Saccharomyces cerevisiae S288C: one gene and its partners. The gene in region 3 interacts genetically with the main gene of each other region. Each region holds a gene or a part of one and is shown on either strand. Other genes may lie near its edges.

Region 1 (7,126 bases), on a different chromosome or scaffold from region 3:
AAGATTGGATGAAGCACAAACGATACTGACTGAGGTTAGATACGTCGTTAAAGCAGGTAAAGCTCTGATGAAAATTGAGTGCTTCATGGTGTTTTCAGTGTAGCCGTTGTAAAGATAAATGATGTCATGAATTAAGTGGTCTGAAATCCAACTCATCGCGACATCTACTTTAGGGACCAGTTTCGTCAGCCCATTGTAAGCTATATGAGCGCCAGACAAGTAGTAAAGATGGCACAACCCACGCAAAATAACCTTAAATATACCAAAATAAATTTTCAACAAACCGAACCCAATAAAAGTTGGAAACAAATAGGAAATTGCCAGGTATATTGCGGTGAAAACTACGGCAATTATGAAATAAGCAATGACATTCAACAATTTCAATTTGAGATTTATCACTAGAGGGCCTTGTCCTTGATCGTCTGGGTTAGCCTGTGCTGGTGGCACACCAACAGCTGCGCCAAAGTCTTGTTCGTCTTGATCGACATTTCCAGCTCTGTTTTGGGCAGGTGGTGGGATGAAAACCGGAGCGTTGGGCCTGTTTATTGCGTTCTGTTGAGCAGCGATTAGGTCATCAAATTCATTTTGCGCACGACGATTTGCCCACATGTCAATCGGATTGGGCTCTATATGATCACGGTAATCTGCCTCTTCTTCTGGTTGCTGCTGTTGCTGTTGCCCCTCTGCTTCTTCATCTTCTTCGTTGTCACTTGAAGACCCCGGTAAAATTCGTGACGAATCATCACCTGATGGTAAACTATTGTCAGAGTCGTTGTTCTCGTGCTCTTCCGTAGCCTCATCATGATCTAATTCGTCTACGTGGCGAAGGTTTTCAAAATTCCGATGGTCATTAGGATCCTGAGGTGGAACGTTATCGTTTCTGGGATTAATAACATTATTATTATTATCTGCTGCTGCGGCTGGCATGTTCAGTCTATCATGACCTTGCTCTTGACGATTTTCGTCATGAGCTCTCATTTCCCTCGCTAAATATTCAACCATTCTATCATCCATCATGGGGAATCTTTCCTTCAAACGTGATTTCAAGTCCTTGGGAGATAATCTTGGACCTATCTTGTGGAAAACCATTTTACTGAAAACATCCTCTCTTACTATCATATCGTATTGAAAGTACAATGCTATATGTAGTATCACTATCATAATAAATTGTAAAGACGTAAACGAATGGTTTTGTAAAAGTTGGTAAAAAATTGCTCTCGTGGTTAATTCTGGAGTTGCTGACTGATCATAACCATAAATCAAACTCTTTAGGAAATCACCAGGATAAGGGGATGATCCATCTAGCATCATGGTGTATAATTTTCCAAACATGTTCCATACCAAAGGAACACCGATAATATATAGTACAGCGGCCAAACCAATCGTTAAAGCCAAACGAGCTTTTTCGAAAAATGTCAAGATGCTCTTGGATAGTAGTAAAGAAAAAGGTATCTTTTCGGGCATGTTTTCCGCATATATCGTTTTGAATTGAATGGGATAGTGACAGATGTCACATTTAACATCCGCGCCTGGTTTTGAAATGTCTATATTTTTTGAAGCTACCCATTCCAACAGACAGGATTCATGCATGTATTTAATTGAGCCCCTGCATTTACAAGGATGGAAAAGAGGATTGTCCTCAGTAGCTTCTCCACGACAAATACGGCAGGTGGCGCCGGATGGCGCATCATCATTGAAAGTGGCGGTATCTGTTTCCTCGTTTGCCACCTTATGCAGTTCATCTCTTAACCTGGAGACATTAACGTCAGAATCAACATCCATGACTTTCACACTTCTAGTCTCTTTGATTCAATTAGTGGTACTCTTGGCTAAAAAAACAGTTTTTGAAATCAGTAACAAAGAACTATTCTTAACGTAATCTTATGGCTTCATAGATCGGTCATAATCATCTTTTCAATGTCCTCAATCGATGCGTTTTCAACCAGTTTTCCGTCTCTAATGATTTAATTTTTCTATTGAATTGAAAATGGTAAAAAGATAGCCCTGTAGGGGGCTCGAACCCCTAACCTTATGATTAAGAGTCATACGCGCTACCGATTGCGCCAACAAGGCTATTTCGTTGGAAAAACTACTTATTTTAGGAAGTAATAGCACATTTAAGATGCTTGTTGGAATGAAACTTTAAAATATCATCTGTTTAGTACTATTCATGTTACTAATTAAGATATGGGTGAATTTTGAGATAATTGTTGGGGGTTCCATTGTTGATAAAGGCTTATAATATTATGTATACGGAATATACTAGAAGTTCTCCTCGAGGATCTAGGAATCCTCATAATGGAATCTATATTTCTATATACTAATATTACGATTATTCCTCATTCCGTTTTATATGTTTCATTCTCCTATTACATTATCAATTTTTGTATTTCAGCTTCCTCTAACCTCGATGACAGCTTCTCATAATTTACGCCATCCTCTTACACCGCATGTGATGCTATTACTACTAAATAGATAACATTAGAATTTCATTCCAACAGCTTTAGTCTGTTTTAATAAACGCAACAGCACCATAATGTTATTAATTTTAATAAAGCCAAATTATGGCCTGCTGATTTCTTTTCATTGGTAAAAGTTCTATCACCCGTTCCCCATTAGTATGATAACCGATAAATAAACTCTATTACCTGGTTTCTTCGTTCCAGGAACGTTTATACCCTGACTACACATTTCTTTTGAAAAATAGGCCAATTGAACAATTAAGTTAGAAGCGGTTAGAAAAAGGTATAATAGGAAAAAATGCATCCAATTTTTACAGTTGAACCACTTGGGGGATTTTATTCTCGTATTGTAGCGGGAGCATTTTATCTTCGTACATCTTGGAAGCTGTAGATTAATCTTATTCCTATATGCTCCTTCAATCCACACAGCAAACCCCCAAATGGAAACGATCACTGAGTATGTTATAAACCAGCTTACGCTTATACTATTATCAAAATTCAAAAGATTGAACGGGGAAAATGGTAGAAATGAATATTGAAGCATTTTCGCAATGAAAATTAACCGCATTGTTTTTATAGTAATTCTGATGGCTAACGGCGGTAATACAGCATCCTTACGAAGAGCGGGAATAGTTCATTTGCCCTCTTTGATGGTTTGCATAACTGCGTTGTTGATTGTCTTAGGAATGGAAATATTTAACAAATATACCTATAATGAAAAAAGGGTCCTTCTTTTTAATTATTATTGGCAGCGAAAAAGTTGTCCCAGCTTCTACTTTTTTTCCCGTTAAAAAAGGAAGCGGCGGAAGCTGATCTACTCTCTAATAATAGACTACTCACTCGCATCTTGGTAACGAGTCCCTTTAAGATCTTGGTACATAAAGTTTGCTGCAGCAAAAAGGGCTTATTTGCGCATTCATGATATTAAACAACACCCTGTTTAGCGTGTTAATGATCCTTGTTTTATGCCAGTATATTCTGTATACCTTATAATAGAGTCAACAGTTAAATCCTAATCATTACCTCAGGACTTACCTATTTCTGAATATCATGGTCCACCATTCTACCTCAGTGAATTGATTGAACCGCACCATTGGAATTGTCATGGTGAGCCAGCGTGCTACAACTTCATGATTTTACGAGCTGAAAAAACACGCCCTTAGGCATAAAAACTCAATGGAAATCTGTAAAACAAAATAAATTTCGCTTTTTAACTTGGCCTAATGGGAATACTTTAACAATTGAACCTGTCACTAAATCAGAGGAAGTACATGCCTAATTACTCAAAGCTGTATTTAACTAATTTACCTATACTATCGCCAGGCATTCAAGGATGAAGACATGCGTCAATGCAAATAGTGACGGCTGCTGCATTAAAGAGGTGCTGCGTGGTGTAGAAAAGGCAATAACATGGACGATGCAAGGTTATTCAGACGCGTTGTTTGTATGCCATTTCCAATGATAATGTTGGTTGCGTTATATAGAAATGTGTTAGGAAGAGATTCTACAGTTGATTGCAGCTTTGACGTTATACTTACACCTTGGATAATGGCCAGTATGTTTTCCAAACGTATGGTGAATTGGTCTAATCCACGTCAAGCTGTTTTAAAAGTATGCAGCGCAGCCGTGACCTCCCGGATAGTTGCCAATTGGTTGTTTACGATGAACATATTATATACCAGTGGTGAAAAGGGTTTTTACTCGCTAGCAACAGCTGTGGTAATTAAAACGGTCACTGATGGGTTTACGGTGATACGGGTTTTCTCTATTCACCTGAACGAGTCAGTATATAGCAAGCCATTACCATAACATTGGGTAACGTCGCACGCAACACAGCTGCGGGTGTGTGTGGTGATTGGTTAGTCAATTGGTCATTTGGGCTGGTAATAGGGCATGTTCCCCTTACAGCTTGTACTGTCTCATTGGGGTTTGCTCTTATTGCTGGAATAATAAATGGAAAGGTTAACGACGACACAAATGGTTTTCGACGACCAAAACAAATTAGCAAATGGCAACCTTTTGTATTAGGGCTAATTAATGTAAGCGATGTTACCATTTTGTCTATTTCTGGCGGTGGACTGGTAGCTTCTTCATGTGGAGGTGCAATAGGCTATGCTACTGTCATTAAAACTGTTGCTACCACAAATGCACGTTTCGCGATTACTGAGGTGATCAAGGAAATAGTTATTCGTTATTCATCACAATTAAATGCAGAAAAAGTTTGTGAAGAATAAAAAACTCGAGCCGGGTGGTAAATTGTTTTAGTACGGTTAGCATCGGTTTAGTACCTGTACCAATATGTGTCACTTTTGTTATTTCTGCAGGCGATAATACTTATAATAAACGCATACATGATATCATAACTGCCTTTATACGGCACCTTACAACTAGCATGGGCGTTCAAGTGGTGGAGAACTATTACCTGTTCCTGAAATAACAGAATGAATCATCAATAAGGGCTTGTCTGTACCTCAGGATGATTTGAACAAGTTCCACTTACGCTAACATGAGGATGAATATCGTACTTATACTATGTAAACTGGAATAGAAATATTCCGAACGGTTATCCATTAGAGTGTTAGCCCTCAAACCGAGACTCTCGATAATATTGAATAGAAGATTTTACCACTAAATTTAGTGTGTATTTATGTATCTTAATAACAAACTATCCAACGAAGACGCAAAAGATACTATCCGCCCCGTAATCCTTTTGAAACCACTCAAGCTTATGGTTCACGTTATAGAACACAGGAGACGCTTGCATTATTGGTGATTCTAATATAGCTTTCTATTCCTCTATGAAAGGCGTCTGTGTTGGTGTAAATAGAAGAGGTGCCTGGTCACCTGACGCCTTATTTTGTGCAGTTACGATGTTCGAGTAGATTCGCTATCGAATTTATGCTCAAAATCTAGCTAATCCTCTTATTAGATCTTGATATGTATATATGTATGAAATTATAAGTTCTAGCTCTAGTTTTCAGTATCTTATTTATTTTTCTTTTTTTACAGTGTTAGAGGCCCATTCCCTGCAAATTTTTCTCTTCATATGAACGTCAACAAAGCTTGGAGTAAATATGATCTCACCATTAGGGTTACTTCCTATCAAGTTATCCACGTTGGTGGCTTTATTTAATGCGATTTCTTTTAGATAGTTTCCTTGGGATATTATCTTCCCATCGTTACTCTCAATTGGTAAATATTGTAATTTCTCGAACGAAGTGAACACTGCAAGAACAAAGAGTATCAATCCTGCATACGTTTCATACATGATATCTTTAGGTAACTTGCTGATTGCACCTTGTGCATTATTAAGCGAGTTAAGTTTTAATAAGTGATGAAACTCATAGCTTGAGAAACCAGAATGAAATAACACCAATGCAGAGACTGTATAGAGAAGCTTGGAAACAAACGACATCTCTTGATAATTGCTTTTTTGTATCTCGGTAGGGCTTAATTACGATCGCTTTTTAGATGCTACAATTAACATGCATAACAACTATCTGAGTTGACTTTATTTTATATTCAAAAGTAGATTTTTCTGCGCTGCGTTTACATCGCGAGTTTTCGAAGAAGCAAAGGGCGCTTTGATGACGATTGAATGGGCTTGGAAAATACATAGCCGAATATCATCCAGCGAGTATAGTCTAATGCGAAGGGATATTTGAAGTATTTATGATTAATCAAAAACTGCTAACGAAGCTATGTATGTTCAAAAGAAAGATGTGATATATATTATAGATCTTATTGTTTTACAAAAGAGCAATAAGTCTGACGTATATCTTTTCCCTTAATCTTGTGTGATTTCGTCGCTGTTGTCTATAGCATCTACCACGGTTGGGTGTTCCTCAATTGGTGCTAACTCTGAATTATTTTGCGAACTTTCTTCAATAGGTTCTAGATCGATTGTCATGGGAATATCTGGATCATTATTTTCAGTATTTGCATGGTCGGTTTCTCGTTCACTGTTGGGTTGTAAAGGCGCTTTTTCCCTCTGTGTTTGATTTGATTTTGCTTTCTGTATGTTCTTTTTATTAGGTTCTGGATTTTCCATTATGGTATCATCTACGATTTTTTTGAACAGCGGGCCAAGCTTTTCTTTGTTTAGTGCCACACGGGAAGCAAATCGTTCATCTAAAATATTCAGTTTCATTAGTCCCTTCAATTTAACTGTGAATAAAAGGAATTCAGTTTCAATATTCTCGAAAAACCCGGTTTCCGGCAAATCATTTAGGTTGGCGTCTTCATCTGCTACCCTTTCTAATTGGACGTCAACTTGCTTAGCGAAAAGACTCTCCAAATATAAAAATATTTTCAAAAGCACTTTGGAAGCATTATCGTGAAGGTAAAATGGAAATTGTTCACTCATACTATATCTCCATGTTGTAGCGTCTGCAGGCAATTTGAGCTCAAATATTTTTATTGCAACGATTATATCCATTAATGAAGTGCAAGCTGACCATTTTAAGTAAAACAAGCTGTTTATGTTTTCAAATGTTTCGTTTGTAGCCGCCAATGAAATAACGAGTGTGTTTAGACGACCTATTATAGCGGCAATTGGTTTCCAAACTGATCTAAGATCTTTTGAAATAGAATTCTCGTAATCCCTTACTTTCTCTATTATTTCTCTCCATTTTTCCAGATTCCATGTGGCTAATAACACTAGC
Region 2 (8,052 bases), on a different chromosome or scaffold from region 3:
GAGGTCAATTTTATCAAAGCTACCTTCAAAATATATTGCACCGCCAATTTGCCTCAACTTGGGGAAGAAATCAATTTTGGCAAGCTCTGTATTGTTAGCAATCATTAGACCCCCTTGAATATCGGTGGCATTCGAAAAGTTTAGCTTTTTCAGATTTTTATTATCTATTAACCCCAACGTTCCTTGAACTTTTGCCAAAAGTGGTAGTTCCAAGCTTGAAAATTGATTCTCGATGAACTCTAGAGAACTGTTCACAGAGGAAAGTTTAGCTAGTTTAATTTCTGAAACGTCCTTAATGGTCATATTTTCAACCGTGTGTAAGTTGCTCAAATCAAGTTCCAGCTCTTTGGCATTAGAGTGGACGGTTAGTTGTTTAGTAACACTTTCTAAACTTGCGAATAAATTTTCTAAAAACCTGTTATTGTTGATATTGAAAATATCCACTTTCTTGACGTTATTGAAGTAATCGATGGAGGTTAATGCAGTATCAGATATGATAATATTTTTGATCTTTTTAATATTTCCGTTAATGACAACACTACTTAGAATAGGCAAAACTCTCCAATCAACGGTTTCAACTTCTTTTAAAGCGGGAAAGTCTAATGATACAAAGGAAGTTAGGCTATCCAATTCCAACTTTCCCAAAGACTCTAAATTATAACCCTGGATTCTAAAAATGTGTTTGTTATTCTTGATAATAAGATCTCCCTCTATCTCTCTTATTAACCCTAGATCAATAAGAGATCCGCTGTAGTTACTTGATATTTCAATGTTTCCTACCACTTTCCAACATTTAGCTTGCAGTTCAATCAAATTTCCAGCATTCTCAATATGATACAAGCCTTTTTTACAGTCTTCATCTACTTGTGTTTGTTTTGTTGGAGAAATCACCTCAAAATCAGTTTGTTCCTTTTTAGGGATCGTTGCATTAGTGTTAACCAACATAATGTTGTGATCTAGAATATTCGGTCCACCATTAGGTTCAACTGCAGCGGATGATTTAATTAACTGCAGAAACAAGAATAAAAATCTTAAGATTGTGTTCAACTGGTTCAACATGCTATCCTTTTCTTTTTTTGTAGAAACTTTGGTTTCTTTATTGACTATTTGAATAACAGAAATACTAGTGAAGAATGTTTGTGTTTTCCAAATTGGCATTTTCTTTTATAGTCTAAGTAATGCCACAAAATATTTTTTTTGAGACGCATCAATGACGGGACAGTAAAGACATAAACGCTCGATCAGAAAAAAAGAATCGAAAAAAAAAGGGAGAAATAAGCAGGTAAATAATCAAAAACACATGACTTTTTACTGTTTGTTATATAATTCAATATATCCATCCTTCATTTATTGAAGATGAAAGAGAATGGAAAACAAAAACTCATGCATATACACACATTATATATATATATCTATTTTTTTAAACGAATCCTTTCTTTATTGCTTCAATTCTTAGTGAGATCTCTTCTATAAAAACCTCATTAAATCCAGGAACGTTTGCCTCAGTTTTAATGAATTGCTTTAACATTTCATTTACGTATTTTCTTGTTTCATCGTCGCGCGCACGATCATACATTCTGTTGAGAATATGAGATACAATGTTTTTCAAGTAGTCAAACTTTTCTATCTTCAACGCCTGAATATCGTTCTTTTTATGCTTCTTATTATGATTAGAGAGAGGAACTATTTCGGTCTCTGCTTGAGCATTTGGGCAGCCTGAATCTATATCCATTCCTGAATCAAGCTCGAAAACTGGTTGCGTACATTTTCTAAATGATGAAGAACTTGGGTTGGTTATCGGCGTTACAGTTTGCCCATGAAGTAAATAAGGACTTTCCATATTTAAAGATGATGTTGGAGAGTCTTGTGTAATGGGAGATAATTCCTCTTTGGAAATTTGTGTTGTGCTTAGTCTTGTCGATTCAAAATTCCAAAATTCCTTTCCCCTCACTGTGTTGCTGTTTTTATACAAGCGATTTTGAAGAGGGTATTTGGGAACTTTTGTATATCTCTCCTGAACCTTTTTCTGTTTAATTAGATCAACATCACTTTTCAAGTTCGTTATGGTGATATTCTTAACAAATTCAAATGATAACAAGTTATATGCCGATGGCCGATCAGCAGGTGTTTTAACAAGACAACCAGCTACGAAATCCTTTGCTGCATCCGAAAAGGGACCTTGTAATTTTGGAGGCTTCCTTTTTGGTAAGTTAGTCATAACTTTCATAGGATCATATTTAGATAATGGGGGTAAGCCCTTGAGTAACTCATAGGTGGTGATACCCAAGGACCATATATCTGCTTTCTCATTATACCCATCAACTTCGCAGCAAACAACTTCCGGAGCCATCCAATACGGCGTTCCTACAAAAGTGTCCCTTTTCAAAGTGGAACGAATGTGGCCACTTACTCCGAAATCACCCAACTTAACCATACCTTCTTCATTTAGTAAAATATTAGCTGCTTTGATATCACGATGAATTTTCCTTTGCTCATGCAGGTATTTCAAACCCAAGGTGACTTCATGAATAATGAAGGAAACTTTTTCTTCAGGCAAACCGTTGACGTAACTTCGCTTCAGTAAATCTGAACATGATCCACCGCCGCAATATTCCATGACAATCCACATAGAGACATCTTCTAACATTGTTGCAATATAGTTTGTAATAAGAGGAGATTTCAATTCCGCCAGAAAAAAAATTTCCTGTGCTAACAGTTCAATGTCTTCGTCGGAATGCTCCAGGTTGACCACCTTAATTGCCACAATTTCTTGCGTAACTCTATCCACTGCTTTATACACATCACCAAAGTTACCTCTGCCAATACATGATTGGATGGAATATAGCTTCGATGGAGGGGTTCTTGACCTAATTGATATTTCTTTGCTTTCCATTTTGTGCTATTTTCTTTTGTTGTTTAGTAAATGAATTAGCTAGTAAAAAAACTAAATTTAAAAAGCAAATGCTGGTTTGCTTTCTTTTGAGAAATGTTTGCTAAGACAACTGACTAGCCAGGTGTTCACTAAATCGATAATATTGAAAATGGCAAAATAAGAAAAAAAAAGAAGAGAATTAGCTGGCTTTTTTTGGATAGGAAATATTAAATGAAGCAGTTGGAACCAAGATAATAAACAAAAACAGTATATTAAGTGACTCTTTAGTATATATCTGAACTAACAAGTAAAATATCGATGTTAGAAATGGTTACAATAGAAGAAAGTAGTGTCATTCTTTCGCGTCAAAAAAAAAAAATGGAATTTGTGTCTTTTTCGTTTTTATGTGTCATTTTTTTTTATCCCTGATGCCGCATTGTTCCGAACCTGGGACAGCTCCGAAATATAACTTGAGGAAAAAGTATTAGAAAAGGGAAAAAAATACAGTTAAATTATCATATATGTTATTTTTTGTCCTTTTTGGCCAATTTTAAAGACTTATGCATTGTTAATAAGTTTGTTGGGGACATCAAATTTTGAGAAGACTTAGGAATGGAGCTCAAACTCCACCTTTTACTTGCTGAGGCACTTCTTTCAGGTATGTTAACTCTCAAATCGTGTTTCTTATTGTAGGACGAAGCTGAATCTACATTTGAATGCATATTTAAATGCGGCCCTGATCTTGGACGAGAAGTATTTACAGCTTGGAATGTTCCGTACATCTCCAACTTAGTTTCCCAATATTCTAAAACCTTTGGAGACCAATTCGTAGTAATCTTCGGTAAATTATCTATATGAATACCATTGCACAATAAAAATTCTGTAATAAAAAAAATGGGCGTTCCATCAACAATTTCATAGTGCTTTAGGGAATATTGAAAAATGGAAGAATGGTTTAGATCATTCTGCTCTTTTTCGCTTGCCGTCAATTCTCTTAGGGAATATTTACTTTGGGCGATGGCTCTTTGCATCATGAAAACACTATCTAAATGGATAGCTTTAATTAAAGACTTCAAAGAAGCCTCTCTGCCTTGGTTGCTGTCGATAACAAACTTTTTAAATTGATACTTATCAATAATGAATTTGGATCTTTCCGAGTCATCAGAATTTGCAGTTATTTTTTTAACTGGAAAGTTCCTGAGATTGCTTTCATAAATGGCATTAACATTACTATTGGAAACATTATTTTGTAAAAGATGCATCAACTCTAACGAGGTGAAATTATCCAGCGTTAAAGATCTAATTTTGGAGATATGTGAACCCAGAGATCGATGAACGCCCGAACATTTGATACACAATATACACAATAAATTGATTGACACCCATTCTACTGTTGCGGTGCTACCGCAGTCACAACACTTCAAATTAGATTTATCAATTTTGCGCACGATTGATAGCAGTTCGTCTCTATTGGAGGCTCCCGCATTAGCAAAAGAGAAATGCTGTGTATGCTGTTTGGAGGAATCTGTTTTTGTAGGAATACGGTTATTACTATTACTGTTGCTACTGCTACTATGAATGGGATGAGTTTGATGATTGATGTGATGAGAATGCGTAGATTTGTGTTGGCTCCCACTAAGACGGGTTGATAAATATGTAAATGACAGTTGGGGTGAACGAAATGGAAATCCTGATGGTAAAGAAGGAGGTATTTGTAGTAATATCAATGATTCTTTCGCGGCCATTAATAAAGCGATGCTTTTTAAAATAACACAATATACCTCAAAACCTCGATCATCCTCGCAGCGGTTCGTTTGAAATTTACATCGAAGAGATTTAAGAAGAATATTAGTTAACTTTAACGCGTTGTTGCACCATGATGGATACTGTGCTTTTGATGCTGTTCTTGCTACTGTTCCTTTACTGAACAAAGGCACAACATTTTTGTTGATATCAGTAGTATAAAAATCCATTATTGATGGAACATCCAGAAAAATGTATTCAAAATGACTGGTACAGCTACCTTAACCACTCTGCCTCAATGTGATTTTTATCCTCTTTTTCGCTCAAATTTTTACTTTTCTTCTCTCTTCGTCAAGTACTATTATAACGACAGCGATAGGAAAAAAAACCAACATCGGACGAGAATAAATAATACTTTAGCGTTCAAAATGACATTCCTTTAAAATTCGATATGAAATTTTCCGCGATTAATTCGCCGAGAATACGACAAAAAAAAAGATAAACATCAGAAAATTCTATTATTAGATTAGATTTTATATTAGATAATGAATTAATACAGGTAATAATTATAGAGAGGAAATAAAAATAAACAGATAAGTTATTTACATCTTCTAACTAATATTCCATTACAAGTGAACGAACATGAAAAGATCATATAAAACCCTTCCAACATATTTTTTTTCCTTCTTTGGTCCCTTCAAGGAAAGAGCGGTCTTTCTTCTTGTTCTATAATAATATTATTAAAAAAGCACATAAAAACTTGATTGTGTAGCGATAATAAAAAAATTTTTTCGATATTATAGGAGTATAATGTCTCTAAACTCAAAATTAAAGAACTTAGAATAAGAAAGCGACACCGGCAGCGACGGCAGCACCGAAGACACCAGCACCCAAAGCGTTGGAAGCAGCAGCACCAGTGGAGATCTTGGTGCTGGTGGTGTTGGAACCGTTGGTACGGTTGGAACCATTGGTAGAAACGTTAGCAGCTTGGACAGCGGCAACAGTAGCGAAGGCAGCGACGATGGTCTTGAATTGCATTGTTTTGTTGATGATTAGTGTTGATTGAAACTTATGTTTAATGATGATTTTCCTCTAAAATCAAAAACAATATTAACTAATAAAGTAAATAATACAGTAGGAGAAGATGGAAAAGAAAATCAAGAATTTCTCGAGTTCCTTATATATGAGGAGAAAAGCCAGGAAAACCACCGCGATGACACACAGCACCATATCTCATGTAACAAACGTGAAAAAAGCGATGATTTTTTTTCTGCTTTCTTTTTCTCATTTCTCAAGCGGATATTCCGCTTGCAAAAAGAAAAGGCGTGGCTCTGGTCTTCGCTATTTTGGAAATAAACTTTGGCGTCCTACGCCCAGAAGCGGCCAAAGCGGCCAATCACGCCCGAAGACGGGACCGCACGGCTCCCAACGAGTCGTTTTTTTGGAACTGAAAAAGGCCCAACGTTGGGCCTAGGCCCTTACCGCGCCCATTTCGGAAACTGCATTACTTTTTCGGGACGTATTCTCGGGAAATAAGCAGGTCCAGATCCGCGTAGCATGAATGGGGCGCCAAAACAGTCGCGGGTAACGAAAGAGCGCAACCACGCGTATATTCCGGGCCGGTGAGGGGCAACGCGCATTGTCCCGGGGCGATATAATCCATGTACCGGAACCCGCACTTTTTCGACTTTCTTTCCCCTTTTCCTGTCTCCTATTGTGCGAGAAAGGTTTGATTGACAAGAGATCTTTACTGATCGATCTTAGTTAGTCCTCGAATAAGCATTTTGCAAGTACCAGTCATCGTATTAGAGAACATACAACTTTAGAATTACACTATGCACGCCCGCGACTGGTTTTTAGTTTTTATTGCAATTTTCATTCCTCCCTTAGCAGTCTGGCTAAAAAGAGGTTTTTTTACCAAGGATCTGCTCATTAACTTTCTGTTATTTTTACTAGGGTTTTTCCCTGGTCTGATCCATGCTTTGTACGTGATCAGCTGTCATCCATATGAGGAGAACGAGGCCCGGTACTCACACCTCTCCTCCTCGGATGATAACTATGGTAGTTTAGCATGAGTGACTCTTTCTACGTTATCCTCCTCCGCAGAATTTCGTAATAAGTGATGTGTGGCTCTTTTGCTACCCTTTTTTTTTCATTTCTTTCTTTTTTTTCTATTTTATTTTTTCTTTTTCATTTTTCGGTACTTCTATGTACCTGAAATGAATAATAATGTAATGGCAAGCCATCTCATCGCTGTCGGCTAAGTAAATCTATAGTTTAATATATTCATTTTCCCTCATTCAAAGAAGATAAATCACTCTGCCACCATCGTAATGGACTTACTGGGCGATATAGTGGAGAAAGATACATCTGACTCTGTTGAAAGTAATGACAATGGCACTCTTAGTACCAACAACTGTGGAACGGGATTTCCCGAGTTGTACAAACCCAAGAAAATATCATCTTGGAAGGAAAGACTAAGAGAAAAAAGAGCCCAAAAGAAAAAAACTAGTGGCAAGGATGCTGAAAAGCAACAAACGAGTACAGACGCCCCACTATCCGAGGCAAAATCTATCCATAATGAAAATATTAAAGTTCTGCAGGGAATGAGTGATGAACAAATCGTGCAAGAACGTGAGGATCTGTATAACTCTTTAGATCCCAAACTGATTGCCAAGCTATTGAAAAACATAAATAAAAGAGCGAAGGACGAAAACAACACTCCATTATTTGCAGAAATAGAAGGCGCTTCTGGTACCTGGGTAGGTGGCAACAAGCAAGGCATATACGATCTACCACCGTTAGACGATGAAGATGTAGACGTTGCCTTAGAAATTAGGCCTATGTTAGGCAAAGATGCAAAACATGTTCAATTTGAAGAAGCAGGAAAAGAAAAAGACGTGGAAGAAGAAGCAAAAACTAATGATGACGTCGATGATATCGCACCCTTAGATTTCCAGATGGCACAATGCATTGATCATATGAAAAATGAAGAGCTATTCAAAGACGTTCATTTTATCAAAGAGGAGAGCCAAAATGAAATCAATTTAGAGAAACTTGATATAAATGATCCTAATTTCAACGATAAATTACACGAAAAATACTTCCCTGATTTGCCCAAAGAGGTCGACAAATTAAAATGGATGCAACCGGTTCAGCAAAAAACAGACAAGAATTACATCATTGAAGACGTATCTGAATGTAGGTTTGACTTTAATGGCGACCTTGTTCCACCCACAAGACAAATAGACTCTACCATTCACTCAGGGTTGCACCATCACAGCGACTCGCCTGAACTCGCCGGTTACACCATAGTGGAGTTAGAACATTTAGCAAGATCCACTTTTCCTTCTCAAAGGTGCATTGCTATACAAACTTTGGGGAGAATACTTTATAAGCTAGGCCAAAAAAGCTACTACCAGCTAGTGCCAGAAATA
Region 3 (8,445 bases):
AAACATTTAAGCTTTACACAGATGAAAGTACATTCAAATTCAATGCAGATTCAGAGTTCTCCGCTAAATCGTGGGTGAACGCTTTGAAAAAGGAGCAGTTCGCAGCTCAGAATTCTGAAAACAATTCGATAAGTTTAAAAATTCCGCTGCCCAACATTATAGAGATAGATGATCAACCTATAGTCAACAAAGCTTTAACATTGAGATTAAGAGCTTTGGAGAGCTCACAGACCTATGCTATCGATGATTTCATGTTTGTTTTCATGGATGGGTCCGGTAGTCAGGTCAAAGAGAGCCTTGGCGAACAGTTGGCTATATTGCAGAAATCCGGTGTTAATACACTTTATTATGATATTCCAGCCAAGAAATCAAAATCAAGTTTTGGAAAAGAGACACCAGCTACAGTTGAGCAAAAGAATAACGGCGAGGATTCAAAATATTTGAATGTTCCAACTTCGGCTGTGCCTTCTTCGGAAAATGGGAAAAAGAGTCGATTCAGATTTAGAGAAAGAAGCAATAGTTGGTTTCGTAGAGCTAAACCTCTTGAAGATTCTCAAGTTGAGGATGTGGAGGAAATATATAAAGATGCGGCGAATGATATAGACTCTTCTGTGCATTCCACGATTCATATTCATGAACAAGAAGATAGTCAAGAGCAAACCGTAGCTTGGAAGCCAAGTCACCTCAAAAATTTTGCCGAAATGTGGGCTGCCAAACCAATACACTACCGGAACAAGTTTATCCCGTTTCAAAAGGATGATACCTATTTGATTAAAGAAACAGAAGAGGTTTCTGCTAACGAGCGGTTCAGGTACCATTTCAAGTTTAATAAAGAGAAGTCACTAATCAGTACTTACTACACATACCTGAATAGAAATGTTCCCGTTTATGGTAAGATTTACGTATCCAATGATACGGTGTGCTTCAGATCGTTATTACCAGGGTCTAATACATACATGGTTTTGCCATTGGTTGATGTGGAGACATGCTATAAAGAAAAGGGATTTCGATTTGGTTATTTTGTATTGGTTATAGTAATTCACGGTCACGAGGAGCTATTTTTTGAATTTAGCACTGAGGTCGCCAGGGATGATATTGAACGCATTCTTTTAAAGCTCTTAGATAACATATATGCAAGCAGTGCAGAAGGATCGAATATATCGAGTGCTTCTCTTGGCGATGTTCAGCATAACCCTGACTCAGCGAAGTTGAAGCTTTTCGAAGATAAAATTAATGCCGAGGGCTTTGAGGTACCGTTAATGATTGATGAGAATCCGCACTATAAAACAAGCATAAAACCAAACAAGAGTTATAAGTTTGGATTATTGACGATTGGCTCAAGAGGGGATGTTCAACCATATATTGCACTTGGAAAGGGCTTGATAAAAGAAGGTCACCAAGTGGTAATAATTACACATTCGGAATTTAGAGACTTTGTTGAAAGTCATGGAATCCAGTTTGAAGAGATTGCTGGTAACCCAGTGGAGTTGATGTCCTTGATGGTGGAAAATGAATCAATGAATGTTAAAATGCTGAGAGAAGCTTCGAGCAAATTTAGGGGATGGATCGATGCTCTTTTACAGACATCTTGGGAGGTTTGTAACAGAAGAAAATTTGATATTCTGATTGAATCACCCTCAGCTATGGTTGGTATTCATATTACTGAAGCATTGCAAATTCCTTATTTTCGAGCATTTACCATGCCATGGACAAGAACAAGAGCATATCCACATGCATTTATTGTACCAGATCAAAAAAGGGGCGGTAACTATAACTACCTGACACATGTCCTTTTCGAAAACGTTTTCTGGAAGGGAATTAGTGGGCAAGTAAACAAGTGGAGAGTTGAAACTCTAGGTTTAGGGAAAACAAATCTTTTTCTTTTACAGCAGAATAATGTTCCTTTCTTATACAATGTTTCTCCTACAATTTTTCCGCCATCAATTGATTTTAGCGAGTGGGTGAGAGTTACAGGATATTGGTTTCTTGATGATAAGAGTACTTTCAAACCGCCAGCAGAATTACAAGAATTTATTTCTGAGGCAAGATCAAAAGGAAAAAAATTGGTTTATATCGGGTTTGGTTCGATTGTAGTCTCTAATGCCAAAGAAATGACGGAAGCTCTTGTCGAAGCAGTTATGGAAGCAGATGTATACTGCATTTTAAATAAGGGATGGTCAGAAAGGTTGGGCGATAAGGCGGCAAAGAAGACAGAGGTAGATCTTCCAAGAAACATTTTAAATATCGGAAACGTTCCCCATGATTGGTTGTTCCCACAAGTCGATGCTGCCGTTCACCATGGTGGTTCTGGAACTACTGGAGCTTCATTACGTGCTGGTTTACCTACTGTTATAAAACCTTTCTTTGGTGATCAGTTCTTTTATGCAGGTAGAGTAGAAGACATTGGAGTTGGTATTGCTTTAAAGAAACTTAACGCTCAAACATTAGCAGATGCTTTAAAAGTAGCTACGACGAACAAAATAATGAAGGATAGAGCTGGATTAATAAAGAAGAAAATTTCCAAAGAAGATGGGATTAAAACTGCAATAAGTGCAATTTACAACGAACTTGAGTATGCAAGAAGCGTTACTTTATCAAGAGTGAAAACTCCGCGCAAGAAAGAGGAAAATGTAGATGCAACCAAACTGACACCTGCTGAAACAACGGATGAAGGGTGGACGATGATTTAAACCGAGTATCACTCTCACTTTTATAAAAAAGCGTAACATCTAATCATTAATAGTAATAAATAATTAATTTTTTTTTTGTAAGTTTCAGTCATATTTGTACTCAGGAAAGATATGAAAACGATAATGTTGATAATAAGAATAATAGTAACAATAATAAAAAAGTAAAAAAATAAAGCTTAATTTGAGTTTCCTAAACGTACCGTATGTTGTGCATCTAATATTAATTTAATGTGTATAAAGGCGTACAAGGAGCTTTAAAAAAAAACTGTTTGTGTAAATTACATTGGGCATCATTTAAATTATAGAATACACAATTTCATATTCAGCAAACATAATGCGATAATTAATTGTCTTCCAACACATACCATAACTGTGGCATAGAAAAGTGATTCCATACTGCGGCAACTTCTTATACTTCCCGGGCAACACTATTGTCCAAATCTATCACTCCCCCTTTTCCTTCCTCGTCCTGCTGTTCGGCAAGCAGCGCATTTAGTTCACTATTAGGAATGGCGATTAGATCTCGGAATGAACCGGTTTCAACCACTGAGCCATGTTTTCCTAACACAATCACCCTAGTACTGTGTTTGATCGTCGAAAGCCTATGTGCAATTGATATAGTAGTGAACCCCCTTTCCACACGTCTCTGAAGATTTTTGGCAACTATTTCTTCACTTTGAGAGTCAAGGGCACTGGTTGCTTCATCTAAAATAAGGACGGCAGGATCTAGTAAAAACGCTCTAGCTAATGCAATTCTTTGCTTTTGACCACCGGACAATTGCGCGCCTCTAGCACCAACCATAGTCTGCAATCCATCTGGAAAATTGGCCAAAAATTTTGTGCAATTAGCTTTTCCAATAGCACGTCTAATACGATCATCCTGCTCCGCAATTTCAGGCGGAATGCAGTAGAGGATATTGTCCAGAATAGTCCCATTGAAAAGTAGTGGTTCTTGTTGCACGTATCCTATTAGTCTTCGATACTTCCTCAAGTTGAAATTTCTGATGTCTTCATCACCAAATTCGATCGATCCTGAGTTCACATCGTAGTACCTGAGCAACAAAGACGCAATTGTTGATTTGCCGCTTCCTGATGGACCGACAGCGCAAACGTGTTCACCAGGCTTGATAGTAATATTCAAATCCTTGAAAATCTGGTGTTTGGGCCGAGTGGGATAAGTGAATGACACGTTTTTGAAAACGATGGGTTTTTGGGCTAATGACACAGGATCCTTTCCAATAGTCGGACGAATCAATGGCTTACGGTCATTTAATTCAAAAACCCTGGCAGCCGCACCAGCACCTTTCATAAGTTCTGAATAGAAGCTCGATAAACCAAATAATGAACTTCCGGTATACACGGCATACATCATGAAACTAGATAATTCACCGACAGTCATTGAACCACTTTGAATCATGCTTGTTCCAACCAATAATAACGACAGCATTGCAGTGTTGCCAACTAGCCCAGTACTTCCGAAGAATAAACCGGAAGTAACCGCTTCCTTCAGACCAATATGAAATACATTTCTAACCTCTTTTGCATAGCGGCGAACCTCGTTTTTTTCACCACCATATGCTTGAATTGTCCTAGTAGCATTTAATTGCTCTTCTGCCACTTTTGTTAACCCACCTACTGAGGTTTGTAACTGTCTTGATAGGTTTCGTATTTTCCTACCATATATCAGTGCCATAGCACCTAAAGGAGGGGCTAAAATCATCATTACGCAAGTCAATTTCCACGAGAGGAAGCTCATCATGCCAAAACCGACAAACCCTTGAATAATTGCCCTTGTTCCATCAGAGACGTTTTGTGTGACCGATTTGGCCACTATAGATGCATCAGATGATAATCTTGAGATCAAATCACCGACACGATTAGTATCTAAAAATGTGGCATCTTGATCTAATGCAGCTTTCATTGTTCTCGTTCTTAATCTTGCGACCAGTCTCTCACCGGTGACCTTTAAAATGATGATTCTGCTTGCATTAGCAACTGCTCCAATTATAAATACTGCTCCTAATGCTGTGAAAAATTGCTTCTTCGTAAAACCATATAACTTATTGCTTTTTGAGCCCTCTTCATCTTCGCCGTCACTTTCGGAAGCCAAGTCTAATAATTTACCGATAACGGAAGGTACAGCCATACTAACTGAACTTGAAATGAGGATTAAAAGGAGGGCAAGACCAATGTACTTGGATTCCGGTTTAGATAAGACGAATAGCCGTTTAATGTCTTTAAACCCCGAGGATTTTGAATTTGCATTGGACAACTTTAAAGTGGGCTTGGTGGACTTCTTTCCTTGCGCAATGTCTGATTGTAATCGAATCGACCGCAACAAAAAGTGCTTTCTATGTGGAATAATCAAATTAATTTCCGCTTTTTGGTACATGGGAGGTTTGAACAATGACTTGGTTGAATATAGTGCACTTGCTGATGCGAATTGACTTCGCAACAACTTTGGACCTTTACAAAGACGTATCATTCTTACAATCATTGGAGCCCTTCCTCTTCTTTAACTTAGTAAAATTTCAATGATCTGCTTCTCATGTAAGTACCCACGTCTGCTTAGTTGAATCTAGTTGCATGTTGGGCAATACTGAATACGTAACATATATACAAAGCATTTGTGATTCTGAAGTCTCGGCTCGATGCGCCTAAACGAAACGCGACGCCAGTAATATAATACCTGTTAATGAAGATTTGTTTAGCTTAAAAGCAAAGGTAAAGAGATAAATAAGGGTATAGAGGTATATTATAGTCGTATTAAAAAAATAATACATTTATGGGAAGTTATATAAAACTACTGAATTGTAAAAAAAAAAAAAAGAAAAGATGAAATATAAATGAATCAGCTGGAATATGGGTTGGTTGATGTGCTATTGGGAGGCATAAATTGAGAAAATCCACTTTGTGCAGTAAGCGGATTTGTGCGGTTAGTGGTATTTATATGGAGGCTGGGACGGCCATCTGGTACATGGTGCTGTGTTTGCGGTATTGGAGATCTATCATTTATTGGTAACTTATTATTCAAATATCTCATATTTTGAGGCTGTTGTTGCAGTTGCGGCGATGGATGGAATGTATTTTGATTGTTACCACTTCCATAGGTATTGTTTCTGAAGGAAAGTGATTGGTTTTGGCGCTGTTGCGACGAATGAAACCGATGTTGCGAAGATTGGAAAGAATACATTGATGAGTTTCCACCTTGTTGCATAGGCTGGACGGTCAGCGGACCCGTTCTTATCTTACCTAACGGGCGACCAACCGGGTATGGTGCTTGAGGCTGCGAGCTATTGGCTGAAGAATTTCTGTAACCAAATGACGAAGTTTGTGGTCCTTTCACATGAAGTGGTTGAGATTGTTGAGGTTTGTTTATTTGATCACCAGAGAAATCTTCCCTATCCTGATAGTTTCCTCCATTCGAAGTAAGCTGGTTTAAGTTTGTAAATAAAGAAGAATGTGGGATCTTGTCATTTCTGTCACTGGCAGAAAGGGTTTCAGTTACTGTTCGGTTGGTTTGCCCATTGCTATAATTACTGGATGCTGCATCCTGATTATCTGAAAAGTCAAACTCATCCGTAGTGTACCTACTTTCTGTTTCCAACATTTGGTTTTGTTCCATATAATCTGGATCAAATACGTTTTCCTCCCCAAAATCCGGCACACGTTGTTCTTCATTGAGATTGACCGATGAACTGTTATTGATATTCAAGTTCAGGTCCGTAACAAAAGAACTGTTTTCTGCTGTGTCACTTAAAGCTTCTGAAGAAATATTTGCCATTCCCATATTGCTAATCTTTTGAGATAACTCTTCAAACTCTTTCAAAGATCCCAGGTCCTCATTTTTTGAACGTCTACTATCTTCTACCCTCAAAGGCGAAGAAAGGGAAGTATTTATCGTACTTTTCGACTCTCTGACGTTACCTATTTCAAATGTCTTGCTTTCAGCGGATGTACCTACGTATCTCTCATAGGGGCTTCTGTTTTCATTTTTTGACCGATCTTTAACTTCCAATTTTTGAGGTTTAGGGCTTGAATTAGCCTCCGATTTACCAAACGGAGATGTGGAATATTTGTCGTAAAGGGCGGATAATTCGGCTGCATTGGCGAGGTGAATATGTTTGTCTTCTGGTGTCGTAGAGAATTCGTTAGCAGATTTCGCTTCAACGTCTTCCATATTTTCCAAATTTGAATCAGTGATTTTGAGTTTTAATCCTGAACCAAAGCTTCTCTCTGAATTTTCATGGTTGAGCATTCCTGATGTCATTGGGGTGGTAAAAGTATCTTTGAAGTTAGTAGTGACACTGGACTGCGCCGACACAGAGTCATTGATTTTTGAAGAATTATCAGTCACAAATAATTCAGTTTGTTTTACTGAGGTAGCATGTGAGTTTACGGAAGCAGAAGCGGAATTAATATCATCGGTCGATGCTAATGTAGGAGACTTCATCTTAGATTTTTGCGGACTTTCCATTTGTCTTTCAGGGAGAGAATCGTACCCTTCAAATAATTCAGCTGAACTAATTGCCGGCGACTTCATCATCCCAGATGAAACTGATACAGTTTTATTACCACAGCCTTTATAGCCCTTACTTAATTTTTTCTGTAATACTTGAACAATGTTATTCCTCCAATCAGCAGCACTCCAATGTATGTAATTTTTGTCTTTTGTTAATGATAAAACGTCATCCACCTGCAAATAATATATATGCGGAAGAGTGGGTAAGGCAAACAGCAGGGAGTCTGGGTCAGTTCTGTTGGCAATCAAACCCTTTGGCCTACCATATAAGTAGAACGCGTTCATAGCTGGGATTAAGAAGCGAATAATAGTGTCATATCCCGGAACACCTTGATGCTTTTCAGGCATGATAAATAGGTTGGTTTCTTGAGGTTCCTCACTTTTGTCAAAAGAGACAAAACCTTCCAATTTTATGATTGTAGATGTGTCGATTAATATCGGCGAGGAAGGATAAACGGCATATAAAGCCCGTGCATCTACTACCGTTGTCATTATGTTTGATTTTTTGGTTTTTTTGTTATTTTCATAGAAACATATTGAACCTTTCGAATTTTTCTTTTTTTTGCCAGACTGTGGAGAAATAACAGCATAACAACGTTTCCATGGCATACCTGTCCCGAATCTTACGCTAACCCAGTCCTCATAAGTGAATTTTGTATCTGCCATAACAACTTTGATATCACCAAGTTTAACACCTCTGCTTGACAAAAATGAGCCCGTGTAGGCCTCTTGCAACGCCGTAAACTCGAACAAACTAAGCCTAATTGCTGCGTTCCAAGTTTTGAATGATTTTGAATTTTTGAATTTTAAGAAATACCTGTTTTTTAAAGTTGTTGAAACAACAAGAACATTGTCTAGATCTTTCTTTGTCTTTTCGTTCTCTGATGCAATGATTACCTGATCATTAGCGTCCAAACTCCTCACAGAAGCATCTGTAAAATTGATAAAAGAAGGTCTCGATGCGGCTTTTTTCATGGTTGATGTGTTCTTATTATTCTTGGAATCTGATAATTCTTTTGCATCCCATAAAGCCAGCTGAGTTCCTAGCAACACACCATAGCATTCTTCCCACTGACGCGCGGCAGGTGTTCCGTCTGTCTTCAAATCATGTAATATCAAGAATATACCATAATGGTATCTCCTATGAGCCTGTGCAGAGAGTAAAGTAACGATTGGTACTAGTTCTGGTGAGATATCACCATTAATAGAGTGTTCTTGCGGAAGATCTAACGT
Region 4 (7,967 bases), 290 kb from region 3:
GTGATGCTCATTCACAGAGGACTAATTAAGACATGTAGCACAATATATTCATATAAAAGTTGGTGCAGTTAATGATTAATTGCATTGTTTTCCTTGTTTCTTTCTGTTATACCTGTCGAATTAAACATAAAGTGTATATGAATTTTAAGGGGCACAAATAACAAAGGATTATTTATCACCTTTAATAATGCAATCGATCAGTAATTGTCCCATCGGGTTAGTTTCAAAAAACACAATCAATTCAGCTTCCACTATTGCAGAGTGGGTAGCATGTCCATGGAAATATATCAACGTTGTTGGTTCAGGCAGATATGTGAGCAATAAACCTGATAAAATTACCAGATATGATTTACTCAAGGCTGCCCAGGAAGCGGAAATGCAGGAGTTGCTTACAAGAAATGATATGAAAGGTAGACATAAACGTAATAAGAAAAGTAAGATAGCATTGGAGACTATAGCGGAAGAAAACTCTTCAACTGAAAGCCTTTTTTAAAGTTTGTGTCACAATCATGTTAAGCTATCGTCCCCTCATATCATTTTAGCCTCCAGGTAAAACCTAAATATTGTATAAAAGAGAATGGTAGGCGAGCATATTATAGAAAAATATCTCTAAATAATTTACAATTTAATATTCGTTGCTAATGGTAATTTTTTTTCAATTGTTCTTAATCCTTTCTTAAACATAAAAATAACTATTTTGAATATAGATAATACACATCAACGATGCAACTCCAGTATATTAGCTAGTTAAAGGAATGTTCAGTAACTCTACAGTATTACAGAAAGGGCTGAATGAAATTTCAACTAATTTGTCTCTTGTGAAATTTAGATTTGGTAACTCTACGCAGGTGCAAGCCATTAAATAGCCATATAATACTCTTAATGTTGACTCATGTGCAATGATGAGAATGTCCTTGCTCGTATGCTCCATTTCTAATAGTAAAGGTTCCATACGAACGGCTAAGTCATGGTAAGATTCCGCCCTAGGGAATCGAAAATGATATGGGTCTTTTAATGATTCTTTATATTCTGATGGAAATTTGTCCATTATCTGTTGATCAGTAAGATCAGCAATACTTCCTGGGTTCAACTGTCTCAACTCTGACCGTTGCTGAACTTTAATACCTTCTTTTGAAAAAAAGAGTGCAGTATCGTGGGTTCTTTTCCTGGGACCTGTCCAAACTATCAAGGAAGTCTTCAAATCTTCATCATGACTTCCATCTATTACTTCGACTAAGGAATCCGAATTTTTTTTGGCCTGTCTCTTCTGTTTAATTCGTTGGAGGACAAAATCCTTGAGAACTTGAGAGTAATGGATTCCCTCCTCGTTTAGTTCCTCATCATGTATGTAGTTGTCTTTATCGCTGGTGCCACAGCGAGCAAAATATACACACCCCTTTTTCTGCCTCAAATTCATTAAGAAAAATACTATTTTGTTGACCAAATAACCATGTATGTTATCTTTCACAATTATCTGCTTTCCCAAATTTATATATTTAATGTACGATAATTCTTCGTCATGTGTCATCATTTCATAGTATGGTTCGTTCACTGATAAACGTCTCATATATTCGTCAATGGCTTCATCAGTTGAAAGTCCCTTGTAATCGTTCGACTCCAGTGCAAGAGCTATGTTTCTATTCATGATTTCTTGATCAGACACGATTGATTCTATGAAGAGTACTTTAACTCCAATTTCAGAAAACGTTGTCTCCAAATTCTTTCTGTCAATTTTACGGATGTTTAGGGCATCATAAATGGCCAGCTGACCTGACAAGTCGTTGAAAAATGCCAGTATATCATTCAACATCTGCATGCGAAGCTTTTCAACAAACGCTACACCTTCTTTTGACGTTGGCACTACGCAAAAATAGTCTGAGGGTATATTTTTAGCTGATTCTTTATATTCTGAAAAATGGAACGATTTCGTCCTAACTCCTAACCATCTTGTATATCTTGTAATCGCTACTGACAATAGTGTCTTTGATGTTGCTGGAAGACCGACTAGAACGACAAGGATTCTTCCAGCATGAAATAAATTGCCCGAGTCAGTGGAGTAAAGCTGTCCTGGTGATATATAACTTTCGGTATTTACCGGTCCATGAACTCCATCAATATTAACATTTTTCAGATCGGCTGTGGTAGCACGTTCTTTATTTACCCACCTTTTGACGGTCCTTGCCATATGGTTACCTTGTCTAGAGGGTTTCATAATCTCACTTCCTAGTCCATTAAGGAGCTCTTCATCATCAGAAAGCACATTTGGCATGTTTGCTATGACAACCCTATATTTTATTTTAAACTATGCCCCTATGCAAAGATCTTTCAGTATAACTGTATAAAGGCGTAGAAGTAGGATGAACTGTTTTTGTGTTAAGATTCTATCTCGGTTCTTGTCTGCCAATATTCATTCTCACGCCCCCTTAACCCCGGTTTCTAGCGTAAGGCGAACATTTCTTCTCCGAAAAAGCTAGCACATATCCATAGTAAAAGGTAGTGCCAGTATACAGCCCTTTACGTAAGACACTGAGTACAGTGGAATGGATACTATTTTATACGTTTTACATATGATTATTAAATGGTTTGAGTAAAAAAAGTGCAATAAATTTCGAGGAAGTTTTCAGGGAATTACATAATTTATTCCAACTTACCGCCCTTTCTTTGGATCAAAGCTTTTCTGTCCTTGTCCAAATGTAATTTAGTAATGACAAGCTTGGATGGGTGCAAGTTAATTGGAACGGAAGCACCGTTGACCTTTTCCTTGGTAACCTTGTCAACTTGAACGGCAAATTTCAATCTGTAAACAGATGAAATCTTACCTTCTTGACCCTTCTTGGAACCACGAACAACCAAAACTTCATCATCTCTTCTGATTGGCAAGGCCTTGATACCGTATTGAGCTCTCAACTCCTTAGATAATGGAGCAGATAGCAAAACACGACGTTGGGAGGATGGGGCGGTGAAATAAGCCTTTCTAGCCTTTCTTCTGTCGGAGGAAACGTCTAAAATAATGAAAATAATGTTAGTATTTCGAGTTTCAACAAATCTTACCCTCTTAGTAAGCAGGACCTTGGAGAAAGTATTGAATTTCAGATGTATCACGGATGCATAATATAGTGTAATTTCCGGGAAGCTCGATTTAGAAAAACATATTCACACTTTTTCCATAAGGTAAGATACGGCTAGATAAATTGAACAATAATTCTATGATTTTTTCATGTCGTGAGACTTTATCTCCCTATTATTTTGATATTTGCGTCATTTTCCAGTGGTTGCAGTTATGAGACATCACCTAAATAGTTTACAAGTTTCAACCTTGGATAACGCACCTTCTTTTTCTAATCGAATTAAGATAACATTGAGTCATTCTGCCCTCAGGCAAAAGGTACAAACTATATTTTCAATTCCAGCTCTACAGGGTTTCAGTGATTTAGCATTTGTGCACATACCTAATGATTGTTTAGCCATTCTGATACTTTTTTGTTGGTTACGTCAATAATATAGAATCGCACTACAAAATTGTCTTCTGTTGTTATAGTCTTCTTAGTATCTTGTACTTCGCCTTCTAGACAAGCTGTCGTCGTTACGCATCCAGGCAAGATTCCATCCGATGGATACTGCTCTCAGCTCTCGGCTCTTCCCTAGACGGAATATTCCATATCTTTCACGAACAGGTTCCTCTAGCTACTGATTTTCAGAAAAAAAAAAAAGAAGAGAAAGGATTAGTTAACCCATACATTACATGAAAATCATAGATACAATAATCAATATGTACGGATGTTGGAAAGGTATGCTGTCTTGTTTACTAGCCGCCGGCTCAAATACAATAGAATAGCATAAGTAATCGATACTTCAATAGCATTCATGGACGTCGGCATAATTGATGGAACAAACAAATAACTAATAATCAAGATCATCCTAACTCTTGCGCATTAACTTTGAGGGAAATGAAAAATTGACAGCCCTTACGCGAAGAGTTTGAATGTATTTCTTGACTTTATAGACACTGTGCTGGCATCGTAGCCTCCGTTCTTTCTATGCACTGACTCGGAAATATGCTTTTTCCTTAAAAATTAGAATAGTGCGCTAAAAAATTAAAAGCTCCTCCCGGGACTCGAACCCGGATCACAGCCACCGGAAGAATGCATGCTAACCATTGCACTAGAGGAGCATAATAAATTATCAGAGATAGTAAATTCCTGCTCTTTATTCATCTGACCTAGTATTTATTCCGAAGACAAAACTCGGCGACTTTGATGTCGTACTTTCAGAAAAGAAATTATTGATGATGATAGTTAAAGGTATAAAAAAAAGTATTAATCAAGTTTAAATGTGGATATGGACCTTCCTGTGCTTATATAAGAGAGGTATAAAACTGTTGAAATAAAATTCCACCATCACCTATCAACTAATGGTTATGCTATCAATATATTATCATATACGGTGTTAGATGATGACATGAGTTATGAGAAGCTGTCATCGAAGTTAGAGGAAGCTGAAATGCAAGGATTGATAATGTAATAGGATAATGAAACATATAAAACGGAATGAAGAATAATCGTGATATTAGTAAATAGAAATATAGATTCCATTTTGAGGATTCCTATATCCTCGAGGAGAACTTCCAGTATATTCTGTATACCTAATATTATAGCCTTTATCAATAATGGAATCCCAACAATTATCTTAAAATTCACCCATTTCTCAAAAACATAAGCCAATTAAAACGTTACGAACTGTCACGAATATAATAATGGGATCATAGCTATTATATTTTTAATGTGACAACTCATATTCCTCATATACATAACTACCACATCTGTTCAATTCATGCATCTTTAGTACCGCTTCAGTACCATCTGAACTGCCTGTACTGCTCATTTAGATTTCGTTCTGGAATAGACACATTTACACTCCAACGTAAACGGCGTACATTAATACAATTCTAAACATGAGGAAAAAGACTGACTTTATTTAAACTATCAATTTATAACTTCATTGAATATTAAATGAATTTTTTATAGAAGAATTCCAGCAGCTATCATAGAAATTAGAAGTATAACAAACCCTGAAGTTTTAAATGCGATGGTGCCGTCATTTTCTCTCTCTTCACTCGATGGGTACTTTACGTTCAAACTTTCCTTGCTACGCGATGGATTTGATTTTGAATAATCGCCATGATTGTATGTGATGTTCCTTATAGAATCAAAAACATTCTTACAGATCGACTCGCTTGTAAGGGGCTGCAGGCTTTCTAAGTTGAAGTAAACGTTCTTATCATTTAGAGGACAATGGCGATCATTTGCGCCGATTTTGCAATACAATTTACTCAGCTGAAGGGAAAGTTTTTGTTCGACAGAACAATCTGAGAATTCACCGTACTCACCGGTTTTGCCATTTGCAAGAATATCGGAACAGTCAACCTTAGAGCACAAATAACTAAAATATTCTTCATATTTTCCAGATTCAGCACCAAAAGGGACTATTTCACAGGGCAAAATCTCATCCAAACAGGCGCACTTGCTTCTATCAGGTGTTTCAGGTAGTTTTTCGTTTGCCTCCCAAACTCCGACAGCAATATGTGGACATTCAACACTTTCTACTTCAGTTGGTTCTTTTGCCGTTAAGTATTCTTCCTCTGTAATGCCTTTAGGATCTGCCTTTGCAAATTCTTTCTTCAAATTCTTGAAATCAGGAAGAATATCCACTCCATCATTATCATTTATCTTAACAACTCCGTATTCATTTTCTTCTTCAAAATACATGTATGCAAGGCCACCAGACCAAACAGAGGACATTTTATTGCCATAAAGGGCACTAACTTCAGTGAATGGCCTTGGTCTTACAAGATTGCAGCCGAATTCCGAAAAAAACACGGGAATTGGATAACCTTCAAATTCTTTCGTTCTTTCCCTATATCCACTAGTACCATACGTGGAATACCCACACCATTCGTACATATTTATCCCATAGAAATCAGCTTTAACGTCTCCGCAAACGAAGTACCTTGCTAAATTGTCTCTTGTCATAGCATCGTCATTAGTTGAATAGCCGACAGGGATTTTTCTATGATTAGAATGCGAAATATACTCCTTGGCATCTCGGATTGCGGCCTTCACGAAGGGTGATGCAAAGGTATTTGTATGGTCATTTGTCACTTCATTCCCTGCAAAATACCCCAACAAATTTGGAAAGGATGACATTGCATCAATTACAGATTTGTACCTTTCAAAAATATGTACATCCCAAGATGGATTTTCTCTATTTATTGAAATATCAGGCTCTGAAAGATCTAATAGGACGTACATTCCTTCGGCAGATAGAGCTTCCATACATATATCATGTGATTTTGTCGGATCTATTGCATAAACACGCAGTGTGTTCACTCCTAGCATTTTCAAAAATGGAATATCTCTTAAGCATATTTTTGGGTCCGCTAAGGCATCAATATAACTTGTCTCAAAAGCCCCATTTGCATTGCTAAGCTCCTCTTCACTTCTCTGCAATTGGTAAGCAATGCCCTTGATGAAGAACTGTTCCCCACTCTCAGAGTCAAAGAATTTGTTTCCTACAATTTTAATAGCAGGGGTTTTTTCAAAGCTGACACCTGAAGAGCCATGAGACAATTGCAAACAAAGAAAAATAGCCACAATAATGGCTGCGTAAAAATTTTGTTTCTTGTTCATACTTAACTGAAAAGTTTCAAGTACCTCGAGTTAACGAATAGTAACGGATGTAGGTTGTTGAATGTTGTCTTTGTCTGACAATCTTCTCGTTGGGGCTCGCAACTATCTAGCTAAATTAATTCATTTACAATCAGAGTGACACAAATTTTTTCAGAATTACTGACACCGAAAGCTGCTCCGTTTTTTATAAATAGAGGCCGATACTGGTGAAAAAAACTAGACAAAAGACTGTTTATAATCACATAACTGTACAAAAAAACCCTTATTGGCATAAACACATTCATATACCTATAATATAAAACTAAATTAAAAAGACGCTTCCAAAAATAAGTAAAAAAGCATCAACATTAAAACAATCTAAACCAAAAACATCGAACGGTATTTGCAACATCTTGAGAGTTTCTGGTCTACTTGCTTTTGGATAGAATATCAGTAAAATCAAGCGTTCAAGCAAGTATTGATTGTATTATTTTATAGTTGACCAGGTCTTTAATGATGGCGTATGAGTATAGTAGTGACTTTGATAAGTTGACATTTGGGAACCAGTGTCATTATTGGTTGTATTTATTGGTTGGAATAGATTGTGAACAACGCCATCCAATGAATCTCCAATGTGTTTGTGGATCTTAGCAGAGGCTACAGCAGGACCAATAATGCATCCTGCAAAAATAGCCAATACTAAAAAGTACAAAGAGCAGTACTTCTTGACCATACGCTTACGCAAACGAGTTTGCTTCAGAGAGTAAATTGGGGGACGAATTTGACGAGAGGGCTTTAGCCAGAATAGCATAATCGAGTGGAATTTATCTATTTTTGGGATTATAATGAGTGGCAGTTGACAGATTAAAATCACATGACCTAGAACAAAATCAGCTGCAAATTCTGAAAGCTCAATTACCTTGGCGGTTAATTCTCTACTTGGCTGGGTCCAAGCCATGTAACCCATACCTTTACCATACCACTTACCAGTCCAGAAGGCTGTATTGGCATGATCGTTTTTAAATTCACGAGTCAACATTAACGCTGTCATGCAATGAAAAATGAGTCTTTGACATTGGATACAAGTAACGACTCCGATTAACATTCTAACAAAGTTGAAGCTCTCCAAAACCCACATGACAATGAAAAAGGCAATGTGGACAATAACAGCAACACCGTGGGCAATTCCAGCCATTACAGAACCTGTCTTCTTACAACACATACCAAATAAGGGACCAGAGCAGCATGACATACCCATACAGAAGAATAGAACACCGAGGTTAACGGCGATTGGCGCCAAGG

The links.
Region 1: mutations in MDL1 (region 3) and EMA17 together harm fitness more than expected from each alone (negative genetic interaction), as found in Saccharomyces cerevisiae (2 studies listed by BioGRID).
Region 2: mutations in MDL1 (region 3) and AGE1 together harm fitness more than expected from each alone (negative genetic interaction), as found in Saccharomyces cerevisiae (2 studies listed by BioGRID).
Region 4: mutations in MDL1 (region 3) and YLR345W together harm fitness more than expected from each alone (negative genetic interaction), as found in Saccharomyces cerevisiae (2 studies listed by BioGRID).

What each region holds. Positions count from the first base shown.
Region 1 is NC_001141.2:298,228-305,353, forward strand, and holds EMA17 (Ema17p), read right to left. Parts: upstream 3,031-7,126; coding exon 2,602-3,030; downstream 1-2,601. Other genes in the region: E3 ubiquitin-protein ligase SSM4, read right to left, coding at 1-1,782; EMC5 (Emc5p), read right to left, coding at 5,452-5,877; cohesin subunit IRR1, read right to left, coding at 6,250-7,126.
Region 2 is NC_001136.10:1,484,146-1,492,197, forward strand, and holds AGE1 (GTPase-activating protein AGE1), read right to left. Parts: upstream 4,846-8,052; coding exon 3,397-4,845; downstream 1-3,396. Other genes in the region: SPS2 (Sps2p), read right to left, coding at 1-1,158; putative serine/threonine protein kinase SPS1, read right to left, coding at 1,421-2,893; YDR524W-C (uncharacterized protein), read left to right, coding at 5,258-5,347; YDR524C-B (uncharacterized protein), read right to left, coding at 5,453-5,653; API2 (Api2p), read left to right, coding at 5,760-6,089; SNA2 (Sna2p), read left to right, coding at 6,451-6,690; RBA50 (Rba50p), read left to right, coding at 6,949-8,052. UniProt on the Saccharomyces cerevisiae protein: GTPase-activating protein (GAP) for the ADP ribosylation factors ARF1 and ARF2. May be involved in the endocytic pathway.
Region 3 is NC_001144.5:525,042-533,486, reverse strand, and holds MDL1 (ATP-binding cassette permease MDL1), read right to left. Parts: upstream 5,188-8,445; coding exon 3,100-5,187; downstream 1-3,099. Other genes in the region: ATG26 (sterol 3-beta-glucosyltransferase), read left to right, coding at 1-2,690; SKG3 (Skg3p), read right to left, coding at 5,542-8,445. UniProt on the Saccharomyces cerevisiae protein: Mediates export of peptides with molecular masses of 2100 to 600 daltons generated upon proteolysis of mitochondrial inner membrane proteins.
Region 4 is NC_001144.5:814,813-822,779, reverse strand, and holds YLR345W (bifunctional fructose-2,6-bisphosphate 2-phosphatase/6-phosphofructo-2-kinase), read right to left. Parts: upstream 2,270-7,967; coding exon 740-2,269; downstream 1-739. Other genes in the region: CIS1 (Cis1p), read left to right, coding at 188-493; 60S ribosomal protein uL24 RPL26A, read right to left, coding at 2,638-3,002, 3,450-3,468; GAS2 (1,3-beta-glucanosyltransferase), read right to left, coding at 5,019-6,686; YLR342W-A (uncharacterized protein), read right to left, coding at 6,797-6,970; FKS1 (1,3-beta-D-glucan synthase), read right to left, coding at 7,153-7,967. UniProt on the Saccharomyces cerevisiae protein: Synthesis and degradation of fructose 2,6-bisphosphate.